7 linked regions of the Cricetulus griseus genome follow. The protein of the gene in region 1 purifies or fractionates together with the protein of each later gene. This does not show direct contact. Links are inferred from orthologs where the notes say so. Each region holds a gene or a part of one and is shown in the gene's direction. Other genes may lie near its edges.

What was found.
Region 2: the proteins of Csnk1d (region 1) and Cry1 purify together in Homo sapiens (affinity purification with mass spectrometry; 3 studies listed by BioGRID and IntAct, counting the BioPlex papers as one, with this or other methods). This does not show direct contact. The link is inferred for Cricetulus griseus from reciprocal best matches to the Homo sapiens genes CSNK1D and CRY1.
Region 3: the proteins of Csnk1d (region 1) and Gapvd1 purify together in Homo sapiens (affinity purification with mass spectrometry; 5 studies listed by BioGRID and IntAct, counting the BioPlex papers as one, with this or other methods). This does not show direct contact. The link is inferred for Cricetulus griseus from reciprocal best matches to the Homo sapiens genes CSNK1D and GAPVD1.
Region 4: the proteins of Csnk1d (region 1) and Fam83d purify together in Homo sapiens (affinity purification with mass spectrometry; 4 studies listed by BioGRID and IntAct, counting the BioPlex papers as one, with this or other methods). This does not show direct contact. The link is inferred for Cricetulus griseus from reciprocal best matches to the Homo sapiens genes CSNK1D and FAM83D.
Region 5: the proteins of Csnk1d (region 1) and Fam83h purify together in Homo sapiens (co-immunoprecipitation; 5 studies listed by BioGRID and IntAct, counting the BioPlex papers as one, with this or other methods). This does not show direct contact. The link is inferred for Cricetulus griseus from reciprocal best matches to the Homo sapiens genes CSNK1D and FAM83H.
Region 6: the proteins of Csnk1d (region 1) and Snx24 purify together in Homo sapiens (affinity purification with mass spectrometry; 3 studies listed by BioGRID and IntAct, counting the BioPlex papers as one, with this or other methods). This does not show direct contact. The link is inferred for Cricetulus griseus from reciprocal best matches to the Homo sapiens genes CSNK1D and SNX24.
Region 7: the proteins of Csnk1d (region 1) and Fam110b purify together in Homo sapiens (affinity purification with mass spectrometry; 3 studies listed by BioGRID and IntAct, counting the BioPlex papers as one, with this or other methods). This does not show direct contact. The link is inferred for Cricetulus griseus from reciprocal best matches to the Homo sapiens genes CSNK1D and FAM110B.

Annotation. Positions count from the first base shown.
Region 1 is NC_048600.1:133,470,347-133,474,523, reverse strand, and holds the start of Csnk1d (casein kinase I), read left to right. Parts: upstream 1-1,377; 5' UTR 1,378-1,688; coding exon 1,689-1,764; intron 1,765-4,177. UniProt on the Homo sapiens protein: Essential serine/threonine-protein kinase that regulates diverse cellular growth and survival processes including Wnt signaling, DNA repair and circadian rhythms. It can phosphorylate a large number of proteins.
Region 2 is NW_023276806.1:150,294,645-150,298,144, forward strand, and holds part of Cry1 (cryptochrome-1), read left to right. Parts: intron 1-1,842; coding exon 1,843-1,985; intron 1,986-3,500.
Region 3 is NC_048599.1:146,454,088-146,457,587, reverse strand, and holds part of Gapvd1 (GTPase-activating protein and VPS9 domain-containing protein 1), read left to right. Parts: intron 1-652; 5' UTR 653-685; coding exon 686-870; intron 871-3,500. UniProt on the Homo sapiens protein: Acts both as a GTPase-activating protein (GAP) and a guanine nucleotide exchange factor (GEF), and participates in various processes such as endocytosis, insulin receptor internalization or LC2A4/GLUT4 trafficking.
Region 4 is NC_048599.1:20,711,899-20,715,398, reverse strand, and holds part of Fam83d (protein FAM83D), read left to right. Parts: intron 1-3,088; coding exon 3,089-3,256; intron 3,257-3,500.
Region 5 is NC_048595.1:373,308,700-373,312,996, reverse strand, and holds the start of Fam83h (protein FAM83H), read left to right. Parts: upstream 1-1,497; 5' UTR 1,498-1,594; intron 1,595-4,297. Other genes in the region: Iqank1 (putative IQ motif and ankyrin repeat domain-containing protein LOC642574 homolog), read right to left, coding at 871-954. UniProt on the Homo sapiens protein: May play a major role in the structural organization and calcification of developing enamel. May play a role in keratin cytoskeleton disassembly by recruiting CSNK1A1 to keratin filaments. Thereby, it may regulate epithelial cell migration.
Region 6 is NC_048595.1:185,287,508-185,291,007, reverse strand, and holds part of Snx24 (sorting nexin-24), read left to right. Parts: intron 1-668; coding exon 669-763; intron 764-2,642; coding exon 2,643-2,675; intron 2,676-3,195; coding exon 3,196-3,260; exon of another isoform or gene 3,261-3,397; intron 3,398-3,471; coding exon 3,472-3,500. UniProt on the Homo sapiens protein: May be involved in several stages of intracellular trafficking.
Region 7 is NC_048595.1:154,718,491-154,722,676, reverse strand, and holds the start of Fam110b (protein FAM110B), read left to right. Parts: upstream 1-1,386; 5' UTR 1,387-1,682; intron 1,683-4,186. UniProt on the Homo sapiens protein: May be involved in tumor progression.

The DNA of each region.
Region 1 (4,177 bases):
TCAACATAAGGGTTTCTCTGATGGGGAAGATAGGTGTTGTTCATAAGTTTCTAATTTTTCATTAGAAAAATAGTAAATGAATTCTGTCAGTGAGGTTATTTTTACTAGTGTGGTCAAGTCTGGCTCTGACTCCTGGACTGAGAAGCTGAGCAGTTCCCAACTACCCACCACTCAGGGGCCACTGGTTTGTTTGCCTTCTGGTGTCTTCTGTCTCCAGCCATGCTGTGTAATGCTCCCCCCTGTCGTGACTGCCAGCTATGTACAGGTAGGTACTACAGCACCACCAAAAGGAAGGTGGTGGAGCCAGGAGAGTAGAAGAGCTATGAGCTCCATGTGTTCCTGCAGGGCAATTGCTGGACCGCTTTTCTCGCCCACCAGCCAGGAGTTGCTCTGAGGTGTCACCTGTGCTCCAGACCCCTGTGCACAGAGTGGTGTGGATGCTAGCTGTCCAAATATGAACATTAAATTGATCTGTGGCTCTGTGTTTCTAGCTGGATGGGGTGGGCCGGCCTAGAGAGCCATCTACTTGGGAAGCTGGACCCTAGTTTGGGTGCACCTCCTGTGTGGTGGCTTCTCCAAAGGCCTCCCCAGTGGTCAGAATGGACAGCCAAGTCTTGGGAGCTGGCTATTAGCCTGGACTTCAGAATTCATGTTTGCATTTTCCGGGCAGAATATTCAAATCCAATACAGACCAGAAAAAAAATGTTGACATACATGGTCTCCAGGCAGCTGGCACTGGAGAGAGACCCGGGCCTGGGACACACACTCTACACCCTCAGTGAATTCATCATTTACCTTCTGCCCACCGTGGGTCCTAGGAAGACACTCTTCTTCCATCCTTGATGTGCAAGAAGGTGGCAGGCAGTGGCAGGCCACAACTACACATGTTCTGCAGCCCTCAAAGCCCAGGACTGACTGGTGGCTCCTAGAAAACAGTCTATTTGTGACCCCAGAGCCGTTCCTGGAGCTCCCTCTCTGCCCCGTTCCCCGACCTGCAAAGGGCAGCACTTTAGGGCCTTCCCCAGGCTGTGCAAAATCTTCCCCATCATGTTATTTTGGTCTATTTAGTGGTGTGTTCAGGGGCAGGGTCTCTGCAGCCCCAGTGTGGCCTCGAACTCAATGATCCTCCTGACTCATCATCCCAAGGGCTGGAACTACAAGACGTTCTCTACCACGCACGGTTTAGCTTCCTCAGATTTCTGTTGGACACAAACGGAGAGACCACAGAGACTAGACGTAGTCGTCCTGCGGCAGCGGTGGACAGTGGGACAGAGGAAACCGTTCTGGTTGCGACTGCGCAAGCCGTCAAGTATCCAAACCCCGCCCCCGAGCGCCGTGGCCCCGCCCCTCTGGGTTGCTAGGGGAAGTGACGTCACAGCGCGATGGCGGCGGCTCCTTTAGGCAGCTGAAGGGGGATTTAGGCCCGGAAGATCCGAGTCCATCCGCGGCGGGGAGAGGGTGAGCGGGGCCGGCAGGGGCCGGAGCAGCGGCGGCGGTGCTCGGACTGTCCCATCCGCCCCGTATTGAGGCGCTGAGAGCGACGGGGCAACCAGAAAGCGATGGTGAAAGCGGGGCCGTGAGGGGGGCGGAGCCGGACCGGACCCGCAGTAGCGGCAGCAGCGGCGCCGCCTCCCGGAGCACAGACCCAGGAAGCGGCCGGGCGGGCAGCAGCGAGCCGCACCGCCGCCATGGAGCTGAGGGTCGGGAACAGGTACCGGCTGGGCCGCAAGATCGGCAGCGGCTCCTTCGGAGACATCTATCTCGGTGAGGCCCGGCGCCGTCGAGCAGCCCGGAGCCGTGCGGGCCGGCGGGCGGGGTCCCCGGCAGGCCGAGGCCTGCGTCAGGCCGTAGTGGACACTCGGCCGCTCGGCATCCCCGCACTCCGAGGGCCGGGCTACCGGCCGCGGCCTACATCAACGGCCGCTGGCCGAGCGCGGCCGGGGGCTGGGCGCGGCGGGCTGGGGGGGCGGGGAGGGGCTGGGGCACCGGGGAGGGGGCAGCTGGGCTTTGGGGGCTGCAGGACCGTGGGGGTCGAGATCCGAGCGAGCCCGGGAGTGGCCGGGGCCCCGGGAGACGAAGAGCGGCGTCTGGGGGCGGGCGGGGGGCGGCGGGCTTCGGGAGACGTGGTGGGGTGTCGGAGGGCGTGGGAAAGGACGGCGGGCTCGGGCGGGGGGCCGTGTTGGAGCTCGTCCAGGGGGCAGCGGGGCGGGGGAGGCGGCGGGCTGGGGGTGGGGCCCTAAGGGGGCAGGGCCCGGGCTGCGGGGCCCCAGAGGCGTCAGCATCCTCCCCCACCTAAGGTCACCGCAGTAAACAAAGGCCACGCTCTGCTCCTCGCTCGCTCGGAGGGTCTGGTACTTACTGCCCCTCGCCCCTGCGGGGTGATCCTGGGTGTTTTGATGTGTGTGTGGGGGGGAGAAACGTCAAAACAATCCGAATGGAGCGTGGAGGTGGGGAGTGTCCCAGCCCGAAATGGGGAAATGACGGGCTGGCTTCTAAGGGTTCTTGTGGCTGTCTGAGCCTGCCCTTTTCCACAACGCTGTTTCCAGTTTAGCTGACCTGCCGAACGGATCGTCCACCTTACGCCAAAACAGGACTGAAGATGTCCCCTTTGAGCTCGGTCAGCTCCTGGCCCTTTGGCCGTGGGTCCTCAGTATATGTTGAGCATCTTAAGTTGACTACTGGACACTCGGATGTCAGTGGGGATGAAGCTTTGATTAATGCTGGCACAATCTTGTCCATGTGGAGAGGTTGGCAGAGCAGAGCAGAGGGAAGTGGTGTGAAAGTTCTCATCCCTTGACTCTCAGAATTCACAAGGTAGACTTGAAAATCCAGACTTAGGATTCGACTGCCCTGGGTTAGCTCAAACTTAACAGTGAAGACTGTGTGTGTGTGTGTGTGTGTGTGTGTGTGTGTGTGTGTGTGTGTGTGTGTGTGTGTGTGTGTGTGTGTGTTTGTGTGTGTGTGTGTGCGCATGTATGTAATTACAGGCTTGCTTAAACCCACTTGTTGGGAATTTTAAAATGAACATTTTTACCCCCGTGTCTCCTAGTGGAATTGTAAGTCATTCCAAAACCCCTGAACTTCTGGTGATGAGCATCCTGAAGATGGTTGCCTGTTAGAGGCAAACATGCTCTGCTGAGTAGCCCGGTCTTCTGCGTTTGTGTGGCAGTTGTACCTGTAGTGCAGAGTCAGGAAGAAGCAGTGCTTTGGGCCTTGCCTTTCAGGCTACCCAAGTTCAAGACCTTCCTACTGTGACTCCTAGGACCTTGACAGCTGGCAGTGTGGGGTGGACAACTGGCCTGTGTGGGTAGTTCATAGGTATTTATGGTCCCTGGTTAGCGTGTAAGGTAACCCTGCTCTGTGCCACCACACGAGTGCTTTGAACCTGTACTTCTTGCCATAGTGGCCTGATGAGTAAATATGTTTTAGAGATACTTGGGGTTTGCTTATTTAAATATTTATGATCAAGTAGTCAGCCAGATGCCTTCTCGGCAGTGTTTGGGAGTCAGAGTGCTGGGTAAATGGGAGATGTTTGGCTTATTTATAGAACAATAGATCTTGGCAGGATATAGGAGCTATACTGAAAAGGCAATCCATTAGCCACCCTTTCATGGGCACCAGAAAATAGGTATTCTGAAACTTTTTGTTCCCTGAGATTTTGCCAAGCAGTTTTGTACTTTGTGAAGATTGATCCTAACAACCAAATTGTGATGTGGAGTCACATGCCATTCAGAGAGGTAAACTCTTCTCTGGGAAGGGTGCAGGCTCTGTCTGGGGATGCAGCTTACTCAGTCACATCTTTTCAGACCTGCCTGGTTCCTGCAGCCTCATGTCCCAACCAGAGCAGTGGGACTTGAGGGAAGGGCTGAGAGGCTGCCTTGAACCAGTGCATACACATCCTGCCCAGGATCTTCTACAGGCATGTGGGTGGTGGCCCATCTGATCATGTGAGGTAACTTTTTCCAGGAGTTCCATTTTGATGACTTTTGATGTGAGGTGGATTGCTGGGATCCTAGGGGTCAGAGTCCCTGGCTTACCTGTCTATCATGGTGTGTGGGGTTTTCGGTTGTTGTGTTTTGTTTTAAGACAGGATCTCACCATGCAGCCCTGGCTGGCCTTAGACTCAGAGATCTGCCTGCCTCTGCTGTGTGCCACTGTGCTGGGGCCCGGTTGTGCC
Region 2 (3,500 bases), on another chromosome or scaffold:
AAGGTTGCTGTCATTAAATGACAAGAAGCCACAGTTACAACAAAATCAAGAGGACATCGGCTACAGTGCACACAAGTGCATACGTGGAAACCATGCTGCTTAGGGCTCACGATGCCCGTGCTTTCTGCTCACTATCACATGATGCAAGCCTGTGGAGCGGTGTGTCTACAAAGTGAACAGTCTTCACCAGGCCAATCTCAGCTTTTAGTCTTGTGGTTTTTCCTACTAGTCTGTACACCTTAACATGAAACATACATATGTATACACTATGTTTTCTACTCTCATTCACATTTTATTCTTAAATTACAAAACTAGCATTTGTACTAGCAAATATGAACAAGACAGCAAAATAAGTAATTATTTTCTCTCCTCAGTTCTGCTTGAAGGTAAACAGCTATTAACTGTTGTTACATTCTAGGCCTTCAAGAAAGGAAAAACTGTTAAATGCTTTATTTTTCTCCTAGTAGTTTCAAAGACATCTTTAAAAGATAACTATTATATACAGCTGACAATCACTCTATGGTACTGCTGATAGGAATATAAATCAAAACAACTGAAAATGTGCCCAGCTATCTAAGCTCTAAATGTGCTTATGTTTAATCCATCATTTTTTTTCTCAAGGATTAATTTCTAGGAAAATAGGATAAATGCCTAAATATGCTTCAAATGTATGTACCGGGCTAGAGATATGGCTCAGCTGTCCACAGAGCTTGCTGCTCTTCTAGAAGACTTGAGTTCACATCCCAGTACCCACACCAGACAGCTCACGATGGTCTATAACTCTAGCTCCCAAGGGTCTGACACCTTCTTCTGGCTTCCATGGCACTCGCATACATGAGTGCAAACACACACTAACAAATTAAAATTTTTATAAAAGCTAATTGACTGCAAAATGTATAATGTACAGTGTACCATTGCTGACCCTTTTGGTCTATCACAATGTGGTATCATTCAGTCAGTTAAATAATAGTAGAATTATGAGATTTTTTTCGTTTTGAAGTAAATCAGAACAGATTTTAGAATTCAACAAAAGTTAACTACCATCCTGAGAAGTCATTTAATTCTCTTACGTCATAGTTTCCTTATTTATAGTAACTATAAAGAGATGTAAGTTACTGATAAATAACAATCATAGTTCCTGTTTTTATTGCTGGTTCCAAGTTAACTGCTGTCAACTTTTTGTTTGTTTTTGTTTTGTTTTTTTCAAGACAGGGTTTCTCTGAGTAGCTGTTCTGGAACTCACTTTATAGACCAGGCTGGCCTAGAACTTGGAAATCTACTTGCCTTCTCCTACCAAGGGCTGGGATTAAAGTTGTGCACTGCCAGCATCCAGTTCACTGACATTTTTAATAGTCAGAAATCAGTCATTCTAAACAAAACAGTTCATACCATATCAGCTATCAAAGGTTTTTTTTTTTTTTTTTTTTTTTTAGAATCAGCAGGCATAAACTCATGTGTTCTGTCTCTGTGAACCCGAGCTTGTCCCTAAAAAAAAAAAAAAAGTCTGCAAAATGTCAAATGGAGGTGGTTTTCATTCAGAATTAAATAAGATAATGTGAATAATTGAAAAGAATGCTCCCTAAGCACTTCAGTATAAAGAATCATTTAAGTATGTTGCTAGATTGGCTCATGCCTGACACAGTGCCATTAATCTAGTTGGCATATATTTGTGATTTGCATATTTTCACATTGACAGATTGTATGCTTTCCACCTGCATATTTGAAATTTGGTTTATGTATAATTGTTTGATGTTGATTTTGAGCTTTTCCCTTATTGTTATAAGAAGAACATAATTATAAAATTGTAATATATTGTTATCCCCTTTTTCATCTTGTTTTTAGGAATGGAACATCACTAAGCTTTCCATTGAGTATGACTCTGAGCCTTTTGGGAAGGAACGAGATGCAGCTATCAAGAAACTGGCCACTGAGGCTGGAGTGGAAGTCATTGTGCGCATTTCACATACACTGTACGACCTGGACAAGTAAGTCTGTGCCTTTATTACAAGAAAATACATGATGACACTTAGCTTACCATCTTAGACATTTTTAACTACACTTTTGGGTGATATTAAGTACATATTTGAGTAAAGTTTTAAATGGAAATAATAGAATCAGAATTGTAGAAGAATTAAGTGGGTATATACCAAGCCCTTGGCATTTTACTTAGCTACATTGATTTTTTTTTCACTCAGTAATAATACCAAAATTGTAGACATAATGCATAAGATAAAAATATTTAGCATTTCTGTTTTAAACTAAGAAATGCTATTTATACATTTTTATTCAACTATTAACTCAACCACTATTGCCTTTCTGAGATGTCAGTATTATTAAATTTATACCTTGTTTGACACATCACTATAATTGACTTTGATATATTTTATGTGATTGTTATGTGTATAATAGTTTGTCCTTTTCTTTAGTTGAGATGAAAACTGAAGTAATATAACTGCCCAGCTAGAGTCATCTGAACATGTTATCATGCCTGTCTGCCAGTGTGTTTATCGAAACACTAGCCAGTCCCTGGGATGCTTTGGCCGGCAAAGATTCTGTGGCCAAATTGAGCTTAGACTAGAAGTAACATGTGCTAAGAGTTTAGGAAGTTCATAAACTGTGTAAGTTTACAGTGACTTCTGTATGAAATTGTCTTTATAAATATGAAAAGATCACAATTTATGGGCCTTTAAATGATTTTACCTTTTAAACAAAACTTAATTCTATAAGTAACATAACTAAATTTACTTCTATTTGCAAGTGGATGGGAAAAAATCATGATTTGATTCAGGCAAATGTCTTACCCTGTTATTAACCTAGAAGTGCTAAGCCCTTTTGGTAATAAGAAGTGTACCAGTTCTCTTAACTTGAATGAGTGATTATAAGGAGGCAAAATAGGATAAGAGAAGTTGCTTCTAAGTGGGAAACTCAGCTATATTGTAAAATTAGTTTTTATTGGGTTGATTGTGAATATATACTCAAGGTTATCATACTTATATGTTATGTATAAAAATGTTTTCCATGAGTTCCAGTTGGCTACTAGATAATTAAGAGACACTTGATAGTGCCATTGTAACATCATTGCATTCATCAAAATTCATTATGTGTAAACCAAAACAAACTTTACTTACAGCAGGAGACTAGATTTCCTGATGGTTTCTTTCTGTAAACGTAGTTGAGAAGAAATATACAAGGTATAAAGAAAAATATATAATGTTTGGGATGAAGAAATACTTGATTAGCAATTTTATCAGTTATATGATCTTGGCTAATTTATTTAACCATCTGTAAATGATAAAGCTGAATTTAACCTGTAATTGTAAGCCAATAGCTGGAGTGAAGAAGTGTAATTAATTATTTTAAAACAGTGTCTAGTCTTACTGTAGACCTTTGGAAGTGCTGCTGGCTGTCCTTTCCCTAGAAGTATGACTACATTGCGGTGTCTAGTGGGCGGCAAGAGCTACATAATGTACTTAAATCTAAAGGACTTTGAATTTGGGGTG
Region 3 (3,500 bases), on another chromosome or scaffold:
ATCACAATCTGTTGGTTTTCTGAGATGGGTGTCTCATGTAGCCTCAGAGTCACTAGGTGGGCAGCCAAGGGATGACTTTGACCTTCTGGTGTCCCTTTCTCAACCTCTCAAATGCTGGGATTATGTTTAAATTAAAGTCAGTGGTTGTACTAAATATAATTAAAGTCTTACTTACAGACAAATTCTTTTTTTTTTTTTTTTTTTTTTGGTTTTTCGAGACAGGGTTTCCCTGTGGCTTTGGAGGCTATCCTGGAACTGGCTCTTGTAAACCAGACTGGTCTTGAACTCACAGAGATCCGCCTGCCTCTGCTTCCCAAGTGCTGGATTAAACACATGTGCCATCACCTCCCGGCTGACAAATTCTTTTTTATGATTTAATTTATTTTAATTTTATGTGCATTGGTGTTTTGTTTGCATGTATGTTTGTATGAGGGTGTAAGGTCCCCCAGAACTGGAATTATAGACAGGTGTGAGCTGTCATGTGCTGGTAATTGAATCCTGGTCCTCTGGAGAGCATCCAGTGCTTTTAACCACTGAGACATCTCTCTAGTCCCCATAATCAAAATTTTAATGTATTCTGCTCATTTTGATTTTAGAAAATAACTTATATGACATGAACTTTTGATTTTGTCTTTTTTTTTTTTTTTTTTAGTGATCAGCCTTTGTACCTTTTCCGAATTCAAAGATGGTGAAGCTAGATATTCACACTCTGGCCCACCACCTCAAACAGGAGCGCTTGTATGTGAGCTCTGAGAAACAGCTCATTCAGAGGCTAAACGCAGATGTGCTGAAGACAGCTGAAAAGCTGTATCGGACAGCATGGATTGCAAAGCAACAGAGGATTAATTTGGATCGGCTAATTATAACTAGGTAAAGTCAAAATTTTTAGGTTATACATTTTGTGAAACTGAAGTCTATGCTACTAACTGTAACTAAATGAATTTCTTTAAGTGCATGTTTTTAAATCAATATTAGGTGAGTCTTCGCTTATAAAATATGTGGAGTTTATTTTGTTTATTAATTAGCTTAAATAGTGAATAGAAAATTATAACTTAAGGATTAATATTTTATACCATACTAGTTTTGTGTCTCTTTGTATATATAACATTTTATTGTTATAGAGAGTAAATTTTGTGATATTACTTATATACATTTCTATGCTTTGGAATTGTATGTCTTTTAAAGAAAAATGTTTTTTATGTTATGTGTATGAGTTTTTTTTTTTTTACATTGAGTTGTTATTTTCTTTTTTTATTATTGTTTACATTCCAATCCCAGTTCCTCTTCCCTCCTCTCCTCCCACTACTGCCACTTCCCCCTCCGTCTACTAAGTCTGTCCCATCATCTAGTTGAGGCTCCATATAGAATGGGCTCCACTAAGTCAGTTTGTGCTTTAGAGTTAGATCTTTGACCTGCTGCCACTGGTCTCATATATTTTCTCAGTCACACTGTTGTCACCTATATTAAGGGAGTCTAGTTCGGCTTTAAGCAGGTTCCCCATTTGTCAGACCTGAGTTAGTGATCTCTCACTAGCTCTGGTCAGCTCATTCTGTGGGTTTCCCATCATGGTCTTGACTCCTTTGTTCATATTATTGGCTCCTCCCCCACTTTGTCCAGGAACTTGGCCCGTTGGTTAGTTGTGGATTTCTGCATCTGCTTCCATCTGTTTCTGGAAGAGGGTTCTAGCTTCTCTGCGGTTATGGATCATAGGCTGGGTATCTTTTGCTTTATATCTGGTATCCACTTATGAGTGAGTACATACTATATTTGTCTTTCTGGGTTTGGGTTAACTCACTTGGGATGTTTTTTTCTAGTTCTTTCCATTCATTTGCCTGTGAATTTTAGGATGTCATTGTTTCTTACCTCTGAGTAGTACTCGATTGTGTAAATATACCACATTTTCTTTATCCATTTGTGTAAATATGCCACATTTTCTTTATCCATTCTTCAGTTGAGGGGTATGTAGATTGTTTCCAAGATCTGGCTACTACAAATCATGTTGCTATGAACATAGTTGAGCAAATGTCCTTGTGGTGTGACTGTGCCTCCTTTGGGTATATGCCCAACAGTGGTATTGCAGGGTCTTGAGATAGGTTGATCCCTAATTTTCTGAGAAATCACCATACTGATTTCCACAGCAGCTGTATAAATTTGCACTCCCACCAGCAATGGAGGAGTGTTCCCCTTTGTCCACATCCTCTCCAGCATAAGCTGTCATTGGTGTTTTTGATCTTAGCCATTCTGATCTGTGTAAGATGGCATTTCAGAGTAGTTTGGATTTGCATTTCCTTGACTAAGTGTTGTTATTTTTCTTCAGTTGCAGCTGCGGGTGATGAAACATGAACCACAAGACTCAACAAACCCACGTGGAGTTTATTGGGAAAAGGAAACACAGAGAGGGGTAGAGATGGAAGATGGGACAGAGATGGAAGAGATAGAGGGCTTAGGAGGCACTCACTTAAAAGGGGAAGCTTGCACATGCGCACAGAGTCCTTATGCAGCCACATAACGCATGGCATAGCCACGCAACACAAGTCTCTTTGAGCCATCTAAGTATCTGCCTGAATGCCGGTGTGCATACCCTGCCCATTGTCAGGGGGCGGGGTCAGTATAATGCTTGGATACCAAAACTAAGGATGTTGAACCTTTTCTTAAGTTTCTGCCATTTGAGATTGTTCTGTTGAGAATTCTTTGTTTAGATCTGTACCCTTTTTTTTTTTATTTGGTTTACTTGGTAGTTTGATTTCTAGTTTCTTGAGTTCTTTGTATATTTTGGAGGTCAGCCCTCTGTCAGATTTGGGGATAGTGAAGATCTTTTCCCATTCTGTAGGGAGCCTTTTTGTCATGTTGACCATGTTCTTTGCTTTACAGAAGTCTCTCAGGAGGTTCCATTTATTAATTGTTTTATTTATTTATTTATTTATTTATTTAATTTATTTATTATGTATACAGTCTTCTGCCTGCATGCCAGCAGAGGGCACCAGATCTCATTCAAGGTGGTTGTGAGCCACCATGTGGTTCCGGGAATTGAACTCTGGTCCTCTGGAAGAGCAGTCAGTGTTCTTAACCACTGAGCCATCTCTCCAGCCCCCCATTTATTAATTGTTGCTTTCAGAATCTGTGCTACTGGTGTTCTATTTAGGAAGGGTCTCCTGTACTTATGCATTCAAGGGTATTTCCCACTTTCTCTTCTATGAGGTTCAGTATGGATGGATTTATATTGTCTTTGATCCATTTGGACTTGAGTTTTGTGCATGGCGATAAATACGGATTATTTGCATTCATCTACATGTTGACAGCCAGTTATACCAGCACCATTTGTTGAATATATGTTCTTTTTTCCATTTTATATTCTTTGCTTCTTTGTCAAAAATTAGGTGTTTATAGGTATGTGGGTTGATACCGGTCTTTGATTCCATTCTATTGGTCCACCTGTCTGTTTTTATGCCAACACCAAGCTCTTTTTTTATTACTATAGCTCTATAGTAGAGCTTGAAGTC
Region 4 (3,500 bases), on another chromosome or scaffold:
TCTCCAGCCCTGCCAACTGGGCTGGGTTCCTAGTGCCTGTTTCAGTAGCCTCTAGGGCATTTTCATTACCATCACTCTGCATCATCTGGGTTCTCTTTTCCCATTTGACTGTTTCTCAGCATGGGGACTAATCCATCACCTAGCTGTATATAGCTCACAGGGGCTCCACTGACCATCAGAGAGGCTAGCAGGTCTTCATAGTTTTCTCCAGGAGTTCTGTTCCAATTCTTGCACCTTGGATTCAAGCACATTCTGAAAGTTTTGCTGCTATCTCTGAGTCAGGTTCGAAGTTCTCTCAGCTTGTATGTATTTCTGTGACCCCGTGCCCATTGCTGGGCTCTCCCATGGCTTCTTCCTGTCCCCCGTAGCCTCATAGCTTCTGGCTGGGACTTTTCTTCTTTCAGTCCTTAGTCCTCCAAATAGCTGCAGAAACTTGTTAGCCCCAAAGATTCCCCATCCCTCACTGGGTTCCTGGTCCTGAGTTAGAGGAAGTAGGTTCAGGTCTCTCATCTGCAGCAGCATCTTTCCCAGCATCTGGATTCATCGCTCTATATACTCTTCCTATGCAGGCTACTGACATGGATTCCATAGCCTTCTACTACCTTATACATCCCTCTTTGCTAGTCACATCCCGTGGCTCCCTTTCCTGCATACTGTACGTTCCAGCCACACTGGTATGCACACATCCTTCCTAGCCTCTTCTGTCATCACATGGTTTCCTGGCAGAGAGCCCTTCATTTCTCCAGTAGCCTCTTGTCCCAGTTGGGCCTTGAATTCAGTGTGTAACCCAAGCTGGCCTTGAACTTGGGATCTTCCTGCTTCAACTTCCCAAGGAGCTGAGATTACAGATCTGTGCAGCCAGGTCAGGCTTATCCTAACCTTATTCTTGTCTGTGGTTCAGCTCCGATGTCACTTCTCCCAGGAAGCCTCCCTCTTCTGTGTGTCTATAGGTGCCTGTCTTCACAAGGAAGCTGACATGCTGCTCCCTACAGAATGTGTAGACATCATTTTGCTTTCCTCACCTCACGTTCTGTCAGCTCTGTAGCCATCTCTGTACCGGGTAGACTCGGAACTGATAAGCCCGTTCATTCCACACTTCCCTCCCTTAACCATCACTGCAGTCCTGCCACGCTGTGCTGTTATCCAAACCTTTCCAAGGGGAAGGAAACTAAGGTTGAGAGAGATTAAGCGCCAAGGGGCCATGCTGAGCTCTGTGTCCTGGCTTTTGCCTTAAACCCTGTTACAGATCCCAAGTGGACGGGGTGAACACACTCTAAAACATGTGAAAGCCATCAGAGCCAATAAGCTTCTGAAGATGCCACTGATTCTAAAATGCTTCTTGTTTTGTTTTATTCATTGTTGAGGAGGTTTTATGAAGGTCAGGCAGGGAGTGGTATAGGGCCAGCCAGAGAGACACTGATCATCCCAGGTGGCTCTTGCTTCTGGGAGCTGGCATTTCAAGGCCACTCATCTGAGCAGATGGAACCCTAGAGTTAGAAAGGTGGCAACATTGACCCTTTGCCTCTTCATTTCTTTCTCTTAGTTTTTTTTTTTCTTAAGATAGACTTTCACTCTATCCAGGCTGATCTCAGCATCCTGAGTGCTGGGATTATAAGCTTGCACCCCCCATTCCTGGCTTCTGTGTTTCTTTTTAACCGTACAAATGCTTAAGGAGCAAAGCTGGCTAGTTACTTACTGTCCTGCGATTTCTACCATGAAGATAAATGCATCCCATTTGAGGCCTCTGCTGCAGTACAAGGAAGGAATAGTGAGGCTGAAAAGTAATGGGAATGCTCAGCCAAGGGGTTAATGCGATTCGGAGACAGGGATTTTTACTGTTGAAGCTGAGAGATGGAGAAGCCCTGACCACTCCCAATTGCAAAACAGCTCCCAAATGCTGGCTTCCTGACTCGCTTTGTAGGGACTTGTTTAAGCCTGGGTGTTTTTACAGCCCTGCCTCTCTGCCAGCAGTTTCTGCAGGCCGGTGAAGTAGGTGATGTGAGACTCTGTAGCTAGCTGTAACAGCCTCTGTAAATGAGGAAGGGAGACTAGGGGCCACCTGTATCTTCCTTGTGAGGGGCTGCCCAGGTAGCTGCAGCCCATACTGGTAACATGGGTGGTTGAGCAGACACCAAGGGTCTTTTGGACCCTGCACTTGTGCAGTTTGGGTTTTACAGCAGGCCTGTTTTGTAGCCTAGCAGACATTCTAAACAGTGATACTCTGTCCATGGACACATGGGTGAGCATTGGCTCTTAGCTGTGGTCTGGCCTGGGTGTGGAAAATCAGTTCTTATCAAGGGGTACACATGGCTGGGGAGAAGAAAGAGCAGAGCTGAACCAAAGGTCAGAATCTTCAGGAAGTATTTCAGTTCTTATCCTGACTGATGGGGGTTTGTGGAATCGGGAACAGTGAATTGGTAATGGATACAATCTTTCTAAAACAAGATTAAAAATGCTCAGAGACTATGATCCAAAATCAGACAATAGGCAAAAAACTGTTGACTTGAATACTAATAGCAAAAAAGAGCTTCATAGAGAATCTGAGGTGTTTTTTTTCTTTGCACTTACTTGTGCGTGGTTACACATGTTACTGGTATGGCGTACATATGGAGATCAGAGGACAGGTTGCAGGAGTTGGTTTTCTCCTTCCACATGTAAGTTCTGGGAATTGAATACAGGTCATCTAGCTTGGTAGCAGTGTCTTTGCTAGCTGAACCATCTTGCCAGCCCCAAGATTTATCAGCCATACAGACATAGAAAACTGAAGTCTGACTGGGAAAGCAGTGTGATTTGAATTCCAATGTGTTGGCCTAGACAGCTTGCTAGTCCAAAGTGAACCTGGAGGTGGGGTTTAGTGATGGTGCAGAAGCTAAATGAGAAGTTTGCCAGTGTGGAATAGGTTGGCTGAGGGACATTGGGGAGCACTAGTTAGCTGGGCTAAGCTAAGACATGTAAGATGTGGGTGCCTGGATGTCTTTAGGGTGCAAAAGAGCCAATAGTGAGGGGGAGATTTGTAGTGCTGAAGAAGGGAGTGTCTATGAGGATGGTATTTAGAGTTCCTTACTTTTCCTTCTGCCTTATCTCATAGGTGATTGCTGTGGTAATGGACGTTTTCTCTGACATTGACATCTTCCGAGACCTACAGGAGATCTGTAGGAAACGGGGGGTGGCTGTGTACATCCTTCTGGACCAGGCTCTGCTCTCCCACTTTTTGGACATGTGCATGGATCTGAAAGTTCATCCTGAGCAGGAAAAGGTTTGTGGGACACCATTTCCAGTTTCCCCTCTGTCAGCAATTACCCATGATGTACTGTGTGGTGGTGGTAGTGATGGTAGGCTCCCCACTGACAAGTGAGGAAGCTGAAATCTCACAGAAAGTGAACATAACCCGTGACCTTGCAGTTCCATTCCTAGGTAACTACCCAAGAGGAATGAAAGACATGTCCACACAACAACGTGTCTGTTTATAGCTGCTGGAAGTTTCATCAGCTAATAAGTGG
Region 5 (4,297 bases), on another chromosome or scaffold:
CTTATCCCAGGACCCAAGAATGGGAATGGAAAAGGTTGACAGGAGTGACAGGGCTGTTCACAAGCAACACAGATGCTGCATCTCCCAGTATTGCACACCTTATGGCTGCTCTGAGAACTTTGGGAGGTAGAGGCAAAGGGCAAGGCAAGGCAGTGGCCAGAAGAGAGCAAGCATCTGAGGCTCTGTGAGACCTAGAAACTGGTCAGGGAAAGTATTGAACAATGGGGTTGGCTGCGAGGGGTTCAGACATCAGCCACTGGGGAGCATTGTGTATGTAGGGACACTGGAGTGAGCTTAGAGAAACTTAGGCTAGATGTGCTGGCTTCAAGACACCCAAAGGGGAAGTTGGAGGATACCTGAAGTGGGGCTGAGGCGCTGGCAGTGAACTCTTAACCTAATTGTTAGGTTGGGAACTTTGGGAATACCGTTTAGAGCTGAGGCCAGAGCCAGGAGGCAAGCAGGCTGGACAGATCTGGTCCTGTCCATAGGCACTGGAGCCCAGGAAGCAGGCACAGGACTCCAGACTCGTGGTGGGACTCCCCAAGTGCTGCCCATGGCTGGATCATTTTTCATTTTACTGCCGCCAGAGGGCGACCAGCTCATCACAGGAGACTCATGCTCCTTTGGGAGGCAGCCCTGAGCCATGGGCTAGCACAGTATAGAAAGGGGGCTTCTGTGTGCTTCTGGCCTACTTCATAGACTATATGTGTACACACATGCATCCATGAATGCATACATTCCCCTGCACATTCATGCATACACGTGTGCATATATAGACAAACACTTGTGCATGCTATGCTTGTCTGGGCCCAGGGAAGTCCCTTACTGCCAGCCCACCCCTTAGCAGAGGTAGAACACCCAGGATCTCACCTGCAGGAACCTCGGGGTTCTCAGAGTAGGACTCTTTGGCCGGCTGGCCTGTCTTCGTCTGCAGCTGGTGATCTTTCGGCTTCCCTGAAGGAAGGTAGCAGAAGTGTTGGGATGTGAGTTGGCCCTCGCCCCATCAACTTCAGGTGGCATTTATGGGACACCAGCTAGGCTTATTCCTAGGCTCTTAGGGAAGGCCTCATGAGGCCAGCACATGCCACAACTTTAATGAGCAGCGTCTTCCAAGAGCAAATACATCTTAGCCTAGTAATACTAAGAACCAACAGACACACCTACCCCTATACCTGGAAATGAAACTCCAGGTCTGGGCATATGGAAGTCCCTAAAAAGTGTGCCCCTCATTGTCCCGACTGCTGTCTCCCACCCAAACAATGCTTCTGCCATTCTCCACGCCCTTCAGCAAAGCTCTGCTCTGCCCAGCTCTGCTCCAGACTGGTGCTCTCTGTCTGCTCTTGAGGTTCCTGGGCAAGGGCAGGATGGATAGGGGTGTGTGCTGGGCAGGGCTGGGCCAGGCAAACCAGTCTGACCAGTGAAGCAGAGCTGGCAGGGATGAGGCCCTGGGCGTGGGTGTGAGTCAGCGGGCTGGGGCTGGGGAACCACTGGGGAGGATGTCACCTGGAGCGACGCCTCGAAACAGGAGGCCTGGGAAGGAAGGCTCAGATGAGAGTTGGTCCTGGACCCCCAGCTGCACCCCTGGGACTAACAGGTGGGCCTTGGAAGGGTCCCTTGGGCCTTGTTTTAATTCAAAGGGGGAGCTGGATTCCCAATCATGGCAGTAGGCAGGCCCCACACCCATACTAGGAGACAAGCTAGACTTTTCTTTCTAGGCTTTTGAAGGCTCAATGTCTTTACCAGGCCACAGTGTGGCCCAAGTGCTTCCCACTGGGGCTAAGGTAGCCATTATCTCTAGCAAGCTCCCCAGGCAAGCTCAAGCCCAGCAGGGCGCATCTGCATAGGCTTCGAGTTCCAGTGGTCAGTTGGTTTGGGATGGTCTATGGTCAGTGAGGGTCTGAGCATTCAGGGCTGGTGCATTTGAGATGTAGCTCTTAGCTCTGCGGACAGTTTGAGTTTCCCGCGACCGAGGGTGGGGTGAAGGGTGGGGGGCCTTGGTGAGTCCAGGCAGGACCAGGCACGTCCTCAAGCAACTGCCTAGCTACAGAGAGCCGCCCCCAGTTTCTTAGCCTCCCTCCCAGTCTGGCCAGTGAAGTCTGTGGTCTGTGAAGTCCCGCACCCTGTGTCAGCACGTTAGTCAGCCTCCTCGGTTAGGGTGAGCCACTGTGCCGCCAAAGTCCCTATAAACTCCCTGGTGTGGCCCAGCGCCACAGAGTGCGGCCTGTGGGACCTATAGACAGAGCCAGGGTCCTGTGCTGTGCTGTGGGCAACAGGGCAAGGGGTAGAGCAGCCACTTGGGACAGAGGAACAGAGGGCTGAGCCTGGCTGAGAGCAAGCAGCCTACTGCAGCCTCTGGGATGCCCTCTGAGCTCCCCAGCAAGGCCAGTGGATGAGACGGTTCCCTGGGGAGCAGACATCTGGTGAAAGACCACTGGATCCTGGGCCATGTCTGGGAAACGAGGTCGAGCTCGGAAGCCCCGAGGCAAGAGGGTGGGCAGGGCCCAGCGGGCAGCTGGGCAGAAGTGCCCTGAGGCTGAGCCTCCGCCCCCCAATACAGGGGGCCCTCAGGATCAGTTGGGGGTGGCCCTCACGGGCCACGTGACCAGCACTCAGCCGGCTCCTCAGGGACACTCTAGGGCCACCAGGCCAGAGCAGCTACAAGCATCCTGGAGGCCAGTTCAGGCCACCACTGTGGAATCCGAGCTAGTGCTGGCTCCTGAGCACATGGAGGGCTGTGGAGCCAGGGCCCCCATGCCAGCCCTGGGCCCTGAACTGCTGAGACTCCACGAAGTCCAGCTGTGCCTAGCCCAGGAGCAACTGCTGCTTGAGGATCGGAGGCGGCAGGTCCAGCTGCAGATGCAGCTCTGGCAGGAGGAGCAGCTGTGGCTGCAGCAGCTGCAGGAGGAGCAGCTGTGGCTGCAGCAGCTGCAGGAGGAGCAGGCCTGGGTGCACATGGAGGGGCTGCAGCTGGCTGTGGCCCTGGAGCAGCTCCGGAGTGAGGGCCTCGAGGCACTGCAAACCCAAGGCCAGGTAAGGCCTAGAGGGCTATGGGTAGGGGCTTGGGCAGTCTGATGGTACAACAGACACTCAAGTATCTTATAGATGCGTGAGGGCTGGGAGGCCAAGTTGGCTACAGAACCTCTGTGGGCCTGTATGCCTGGAGGGGCTTGTGCCCACTACACAGAATGTTGCCCGGATGAAGGACAGCAATTCTGCCCAGACCACACAGTGCTTGGCAGGCAGAGGCCATTGAGGGAGGTGGGGGGAGGGAGCTTGTTTGGGGATGGTGGTGTCAGGGGACCAGGACGAGTAGCTACAGGAGCTGTCCAGGAAAGCATGCATAGTAAGGTGTGGGGTGAGAGCTGAGTGCACAGTTGACAGACAACAAAACTGAGGAACAGTCCCCTCTCCAAGTATCCTGGACAGCTTCTTGTCCAGTCCACCTGCCCTGCCCACTATTTACTGCAGCTTGGTGCTCGGGGCTTGAGATCACAGAGGCAGCACGCAGTGCTGGTACCCATTATCCTCATTCCAGGAGGAAGACTGGCCTCAGACGCAGCTGGGGCTAATTTGGGCAACTAGGACTTCACCCCAGCGTGGTGTGGAGTCACCATCGGCTGCCAGCTCCAGGGAATCTGGCACTGCCTGGGCTCAGATGCAGGGCTGCATCTAGGTCTGGGTGGGTACCCTCGCAGCAGGCACAAACTACAGGCAGGTTTGGGTGCAGAGCCCAAGAGATAGCCTGGAAGATGTTCACATCTGTAGCACAATGAATTGTAAGTTGAGTGAAGGGGTGATAAAGGCTACGGGGGTGGGGGGGGCAGGCACAGGGAACAGGAGAGTCCACTTTCTCATGATCTACAGAAGCTAGCCCAATCTAGTTGTAACCTTTCAGCCGGGAAGTGCTACGGAGAGGTGATCTGAAGGGGAAAGTGTGAGGCGGGTTTGATGAACAGTGAGTGGACAACCACTTACGAAGATTCCCAACTTGGATTCAAGCCCTTCTCTTTTTCAATATTGTTGCTGTTTTCAAGAGACAGAGTTCCTCTGTGTTACCTTGGCTGCCCTGGAACTCACTCTACAAACCAGGCTGGCCTCAAACTCAGAGATCCCCCTGCCTCTGCTTTCCATGTGCTGGGATTAAAGGCGTGTGCCACCACTGGCCAGCTTCAATATTGTTTTTAGTCATCTGCCCCTCCGATCTCCTCCTGGCCCCTTTCTTACCTCCAGGGGCTCTAACACTGTGCCTTTCTGAGTCCTGTGCCCACTCCCCACCCCAGCTCTAGAGGTCCAGGCT
Region 6 (3,500 bases), on another chromosome or scaffold:
CCTCCATGTTGCATAATTTTGATCTCGGCATGCTGACATGTTTATGCCATTATGCCAGCTCTTTAGCAGAGCTATTTAAGTGGAAGAACTTTATAGATTTTTTTTCAATATATACCCTGATTTACACTTAGCGGTAAAGTTGTCACTGACCCTTTAAGTGGAGCTGCCCAGATGGCAATAAATGTCAACTGATCCTTGTGCAGAAACAGGTGATAACTAAGGGGTTAGACTAAATCTTCCAGATGGAAAACCTGCAGTATTTCCTAGGAGTAGTGGCCTGCTATGGAAACGTAAATACTTTATTACTCAACAAGGAACATTTGATTTGTGTATCCGATGTGCCTGGGATTGGACTGTTCAGGATGGATCAGTCTCTGTGAAGGCAGGGAGCGTGTCCAGTGCTTCCCCAGTGTCTTCCCCGTTAGTGAGTATCTGAAGGTAGGAGACATTTCTGTAAATGTACTGTGAAGGAGTGGATAAAGAACAGGGCGTGCTCATGCTGTATAGTATGCATCAGCCTGCCTCTACTCCTCATATCAATTATGAGGAATGTTGCTGGTGATGTGATGACTTTGATGGACAGTTATGACTTTTTGATAGAGTTCCTTTGATTGATGGTATAACAGACTTCCCTCCCATCTCTAATTTTGTTCTCTGCTTTCACACAGGCCGTCATTTTGGAAAATGAAGAACTTCCCAAGCTCTTCCTTGATTTCCTCAATGTAAGACACTTGCCCTCCTTACCAAAGGCAGAAAGTTGTGGGTAAGAACTGCTATTTACATTGTGGGTGTGTATTTTAAGTTACAATCACCCCAGAGTGGTGCCACATGGCAAGCTAGCCACATCTAAGCTCTTAGTTGAGGCATATCTCTCTCTCTCTCTCTCTCTCTCTCTCTCTCTCTCTCTCTCTCTCTCTCTCTCTCTCTCTCTCTCTCTCTCATATTCCTATAGTGAGAGGAATCCCTCCCAAGTCTTTGCCTCTGTCCTGCAACAAATGGTCCAGGCAAACCCATGCCTAGACATAAGGAACTAACCTTTTAAATGACGGTGTCACATAGTGTCTCGGGTGGTAATTATGAATCCAGAGTGTAATCAAGGTCAGTCCCTTGACTTGTGCCAAGTATACATATTCATATAGCTTTTTAAAGGTATACTTCTATTTATGTGTATGTTTGTGTCTGTGTATGCCATGTATGTGGAAGGGGGTACCTATAGAATCTAGAAGAGGACATCAGATCCACCAGAACTGGAGTTACAGACAGTTGTGTGTTGTCTGACATGGCGCTGAGATCCAAACTTAGATGCTCTGGAAGAACAGCAAGTGTTCTTAACCATTCAACCATCTCTCCAGTCTCTAAAGCTATAGATGACTTTAGAGATCATTGATCCAACACCCCTCATTTGGTTGTTGGTCAGAGACCCACAAAGTGCCTTTCCTAAGCCATGCAAGTGGCAGAACCCAGGCCTTCCATGGAGGGTTGCTTTCTTTGACCACTGCTTCTCCCTCAGGAACTCATAACTGATGGGCTGTAGTCTCTAGTCCCTATTAACCATGAAACTAGAGGTACAACATACTGGCAGCTGGAGAACGTTCTTCTAAAGTCTGAAATCTACAGCAAGCTGGGTTGAACTAGTCTCTGAAAGCAGTTAGCAGCACCCCTGCACAGTCAGTCAATCCCCAGAGACTTAAGGCAACACAAATCTAGCAGGGCACAGGGCTTTGCCATACTTTCCCTCATCTTCCAGCCTATTCCTCAGACTGGGTTAAACCTGAGCTGTCTACGGAATGCAGGGCAGTAGATACCTTTCACCGCTCCTTATCAGTGTTATTGACTCAAGGCCACTTGCTACTCACTCCAGAGCCTGAATTACATTCCATACTCACCAATGATCTATGAGGCCAGTGTGTTCTGTCCTGTGTATTCGTGTTTCCTGGGAAGGCAGGTTCATAGATGCTCTTGAATTTTACACAGCAACATTAACAAATTTCAGTGAATGAGGTCTTCTTACTTTTATTCTAACTCCAAAACAGTAATAAGATGTAGATGGAAGTTTCTGTCCCACCTGTTCCCATAGCCATTTAGTCCCAGATAAGCATACAAAGGCTTATATTAATTATAAACTGTTTGGCCTATTGCTTAGGCTTATTACTAACAAACTTTTACAACTTAAATTAACCACAATCCTTATCTATGTTTAGCCATGTGGCTTGTTACCTTTACTCAGTGAGTCATTCTCATCTTGCTTCCTCTGCATCTGGCTGGCAACTCACGCTCTGCCTTCCTCTTCTCAGAATTCTCCTAGTCTGGTAGCCCCACCTATACTTCCTGCCTGGCTACTGGCCAATCAGCATTTTATTAAACCAATATGAGTGACAAATCTTTACAGTATACAAGAGCATTATCCCGTAACAATAAGGCCATGGGATTTTTAAATGATCTTAAGGAAAATTGAAATGCCCAGAGTCTTCCAGGCTGAAGATTTCTTAGAATGACTTGTCAGCCATGCTGTGGCTCAGTACAAACTCAAGTTTTCTGTTTGTTTCCCAATCCAGTGCTAAGGATACTAACGTTTTGCTTTGCTGACATAAATATTGGCCCAACTTAATTAGTTTTTTCTTTTCTTTTATTAAAAATTTCAGATCTTTTGATGAGACAGAATCTGAAGAGTCAAGGTAAGAACTAACACCAGTCAATGAGCAGTTTCAGAAATCAATACTAGAACTGTAGTTTGTTTAATGTCTAACTACCCATGGTATACCTGTTTAAAGTCATGTTTCTCCTGAAAACCTTTGCTGGATATTGGTTTTATGATGATAAATATTTGACAGGAATTTCCAGGGTTAATTGCTTATAATTGGGAATGAAAAGGGTTAAGAGCCCCATTTGGCTTCATGCAAGTAATAAGAATACGGCTTTGCTTACGATCAAATTGCAATTTCAGAATGTACTTTCCAGCAGTGATATTTACAGCATAGATGAGTGTCTGTCTCATATCCCAGAGAGAAATATCTGGAAGGCAAGTGCAGCACCCATGACTTCCCTCTGTGTGTTTGCTGATATCCCCCCACACTAGAAGATGCAGAGACCTGGAGACATCCCACACAGCAGTTTGATCCCCTCAAAGCTAGTTTGTAGTGTTTTCTGTTTACCATCGTCCCCTGATGCTGACATGCCTGTTTTTGACCTTTCCAGCAAGCTGTCCCACCAGCCGGTGCTGCTGTTCCTCGGGGATCCATACGTCTTGCCTGCAGCCAGCGGTAATCAAACCTGTCATCTGCTAACAGCTCTTTACTGATCTGCCCCCGCACCACATAAACCACGTTTGTAATACGGGTCTAACAGAGTGACATCGGTCCAGGGCTTAATCATCTGCCAATAAACCAGTGCTCTTGGTGTAAGAGACATTTAGAATTTTAATTGGGGCCGGCCTTTCAGGAGGAAATGTAATTTTTCTTTCTCTCTTCCTAGCCTATTTTGAATTAGAGAAAGAAGGGATA
Region 7 (4,186 bases), on another chromosome or scaffold:
TAAAACTCAGGACTTTAAGTGACTTCTTGGCCCATACTTCATTAGCGAGAAATAATTTGATTTGGGCAACACAAAAACTAGAACTCACTGGTTATGTTTCTGACTTCCAAAGCACAGGGTAATCTCTTATAATTTTATAAGTCAACATTTTGAAAGGGAGCCTATGGCAAAACTTTTGAGCAAGAAAGGAATTCACTGTGCACATCTTCAGACCCCGTGTTCCGATACTTCAAGAGAGGGCTTGGCTAAAGTGGTTAGTATGTGGATTTTCTTCTGGCTAGGTTTTGTTCTTCGATGGGGTACATACAGGTGCTGCAGGCTTTCATGACACATTTAGGAGAAAGGACCTTGGTATTTCTTAAGTAGATAAAGGCCTCCTGTCTCCCATCTCTATGTCCAGGGGACAAGATATATTTTACTCTGCCCTGGAAACTGCAAATGGAGGTTTGTGTCTCAGCCACACACAATGGGAAGAGGCTCGGAGCAAATAAGCAAAAGTGTGTGTGTGTGGGGGGGTGGGTGGTGGTGGTGGTGGTGGAGTGGTGAGGGGTTGTGCTCTGGCCAGAAACTGCCTGCATTTGCTATGATAATGATGAAAAATAGCTTCATTCCACTGTCACTGGGTTTGGAGTAGAAATGGAGGCGACAATGTAATTTGCTGACAAGGAGCTCATTTGCATGCCAAAGTTCCACTCAAAGCCTAGCATTACGTCACTTATTAGCACAATACTCCTGCAAATAGCCAGAAATTTATTATAGAAGTCGGACTTTTATAGTTTCTGAACTATAAGGAATTAAGAGTTGCATAATTTAAATATGTATAAATGGTCTTTTGGAGAAAACCACACAAATGTCATTACATTTCAAAGTACTAAAGGTTAAAAACAAAGAAATTTTGCTTAATATTTCTGCGAGAAATACATTGTGACTTCCGATCTCCTTTAAACTTGGTCATTTTGATAAGCATGGATTTTAACGTTAAAATTTCCTACTAGCGAAACTCAATTAGAATGGGCTTAGTCTTCCTGGATGCTTCCTGCCCATGGAGAAAACCTTACTGACCACATGGAGTTAGGAAATGGGCGCCAAGATCTTCCACAAGGGCATATCAGGTGGGCTCAACACATCTGCACACAGGTTCTGGGTACCCAGCACAGCCTGGTCTGCACTGTCTTGGGGTGGGAGAGTCACATGTCAGGGTTGCTTCTCAGGGGTGGGAGCAATGGGGAAGTGGGGCACGTGGTGGGTGTGGGGTTGATGGGAGCAGAGCCTGGGGACAGGTGGGCGGGGAGGAGGTGAGAGGGGAGGAGTGCAGAGTGCGGAGGGGGTGGAGCGGGAAGGTGGGCTGGGGGCGGGGAGCTCTGGGGGCGTGCCGGCTGCGCGGGGACACTAGCTCTGCCTGCTGCCACTGGCTCCAAGTTCCCACCCTCGCTCTCCCGCGGAGCCTGCCTGAGCCCGCCCCTTCGGTGCGGAGGTGCAAACGCCGCCGCGGTCAGCCCAGCCTGCCTTGCCGCGCGATTTGGGCCCGTTCGGCCACCGCGGTCGGCTGGGAGCCGGCTGGGAGGACCCGGTGGCTGCTTCATCTCGGCCTGCAGTGCCCCGCAGGGCCCAAGCTTCTCCTCGCGGTCTCCGGAGCCCGGTTCCTGGCCTGGACGCCTTGCAGGGGCCGGAGAACGGCTAAGGTAAGCAGGGGCGCTGGCGGGTGGGGAGTGCAGCGCAAGGTCCTGCTCCGAGACCGGGCCTGGACGCCGGGAGCCCGGCCCCGCTGTCCGCCCTGAGCCCGGCTGCGCGCCTGGACCGGCGGCGAGGCCCAGACTCGGTAGGAGCTCTAGCTGCAGGGGAGAGGGTGGGCGAGGACTCGGTCGTCCCGGCCCCTCTCTGGACTGCGTCCCCACCCACCCAGGTCATCCCGTGGGCGCGCCAGGGTGCTGCCAGTTCCTGCGGGAATGCAGAACCCGGGGCTCTGAAAGTTTGTTTGTCTCCCCCACCCCCCAACACACAAACACTCTCCAGTCCTCCCACAGCTCGGTTGTCTCTGCTTTCTTGGAAATAGGAAAAATTGGTCCTGGCTCACTTGTGCCCCTGTCACCTAGCGGCGCTCAGAACTTGGCGACAATGCCAGGCTGTGGGAAGCTGGGTGTCTGCGCTGCCCTCCTTTTGTTAGAGCAGGAGCCGAGCCTGGTGGTGTAAATGGCAGTGACAAGTCTCTCCATCCTGGCTAGTGGAGAAGGAAGAGGAGATAACTTTGCTTTATACTTCCCAAAGTGGAAATAAAACCACCTGACGCCCAGCTTTTTAACCCTTTCAAGTTGCTATTCGGATTTATTAACAGTCACCCTCTCCCAGAAAGAACAGGCATTCTTTCCTGCCTAAGGTTCAAGCAAACTCCGCGTCCCCCGCCTCCCCAGCCAAGTTATGTCCTGTGTAAATCTGGCGCACATCTGTGACAACAGTGCATGGCTGGCTGTGAGGATTGCGGAGTCTATTTTTACAGAGAGGAGTATGATAGCAGAATCAGCATTTTTTTCTGTATGAATAATATGACTTCCATTTTCATTTCCTCTGTTAGCGTTAAAGAGTTATTTAGCATCCACCATTCTAAGTCATGTGACTGTACTGTGTTGTTATTTGTATTTGTATTCATTTTGTGTTATTGAGACCTGGTCATTCAAAAGAGCTGTTTATTAAGCATAGTTATTTAACAATAAGGGTAGGTAGATGGTAACATGCTATTGATTTACCACAATACATTTAATCTGTGACACTTCTTAGATTATTCATCTTAAAATCGTGAATTGAACTTGGGGATGACTTTACTTCTTGAACCCGAAAATCTTCAAAGGCCTTATTTAACATGGGGCCTGGAAGCAGAACTAGAGAAATATGAGCTATATTTATTTTTGGTTTTATTTTCAATTCGTGTTTTTGCTGTTCAGAAAAAAATGTTTCTTTTGTTTGTTTCCATCCCAGAGCTTTTAAATCGTGGTCTATTTTGAGTCTGTGATTTAATTTTAGATCAGAATTGAGATTGGGCTGTTCGCAGGAGACTGACAAGCTGGCTGGGAAGGGAAGATTTGTTAGTGGTCGGTCTATGAGTCTGAATCCTGCCATGGCCTAGTGGGTTTCATAATAGAAACTGGTTGTCTCTAAGGGGCCTGGTTGTCTATAAAGGGCTTAAACATGAGGAAACCCCATGCTGTGAACCTAGTCTTTAGACCACCCCTTCTCAAGGGGTCATAGGAGCTAGTTAACACCCACCCACCATGCCTATCGATAATGGAAGATGAATGTATTCACTGTGTGGGTATCCCTCAGAGCATGTCATTACTCTAGTTTTAAATCCTTGGGATCAAGATCTGTAGGCTAAATAGTCGAGAAAAAAAATAAAATTACCCACTTGCCATTATCAGCAACTAAAACATGGTACTAACAACTTAGATATTTTATGTGATCATCTGTTAGTTATCAATTCACCCTCTATCTCCACCATTGACTTTGAAGTGACAATCTTTTTCATTTTTCAATGTTTTGAAGTCTTGGGGTCGGTCCTCCAGAAGTGGAGCCGTTGTAGGTACAGCCCAGCAACAGTAGGTGGTGCTGTGGGGGACTGATAGCCCAGCCACTGCTCAGGTACTAAAGGAAAATTGGGGATTGATTAATCTGCAGCAGTGTTTGCTTCTTAGAGAAAAATCCCACAATACAGACACCTGCATTAGTGTTAGGAATGGCATGGCTTCTTAAGTTTCCTCTTGTGTTTTTAAATCTTTTGGGCATTTGCCAAGGAAATGCGTTCTCTTTGTGTGCCCTACCATGTAGGCACACAAAATGTCTATTGCTTATGATAATTATCAGCTGTACTCTTCCCTTTCATTTCTCCATGTTAGAATTGGGTGGGCTAACCTAAGGCAAGAGTCTCCAGCTACCCTTGACTTTTTCTGTTTCCAGTATGTACTTTCAACACAGGAAAATAAATGGTAAGGAGCCTATTAGCATTTTGAGCTTATTTAGGGAAGCCTCTGTTACATTGGGAAGCCTGTATTAGGTCCTTTCCCCTCTGCTTTTACCGTTGCTGCTTATTATTTTCCTGGCGCCTGGTATGCAGAATGAGCACTGATATTCAGGGTAAAGACTCTGAAATTTTTACAATGCTGCCTAGGACCTGGGCTGTGTGAGCACCCAGTCTAGG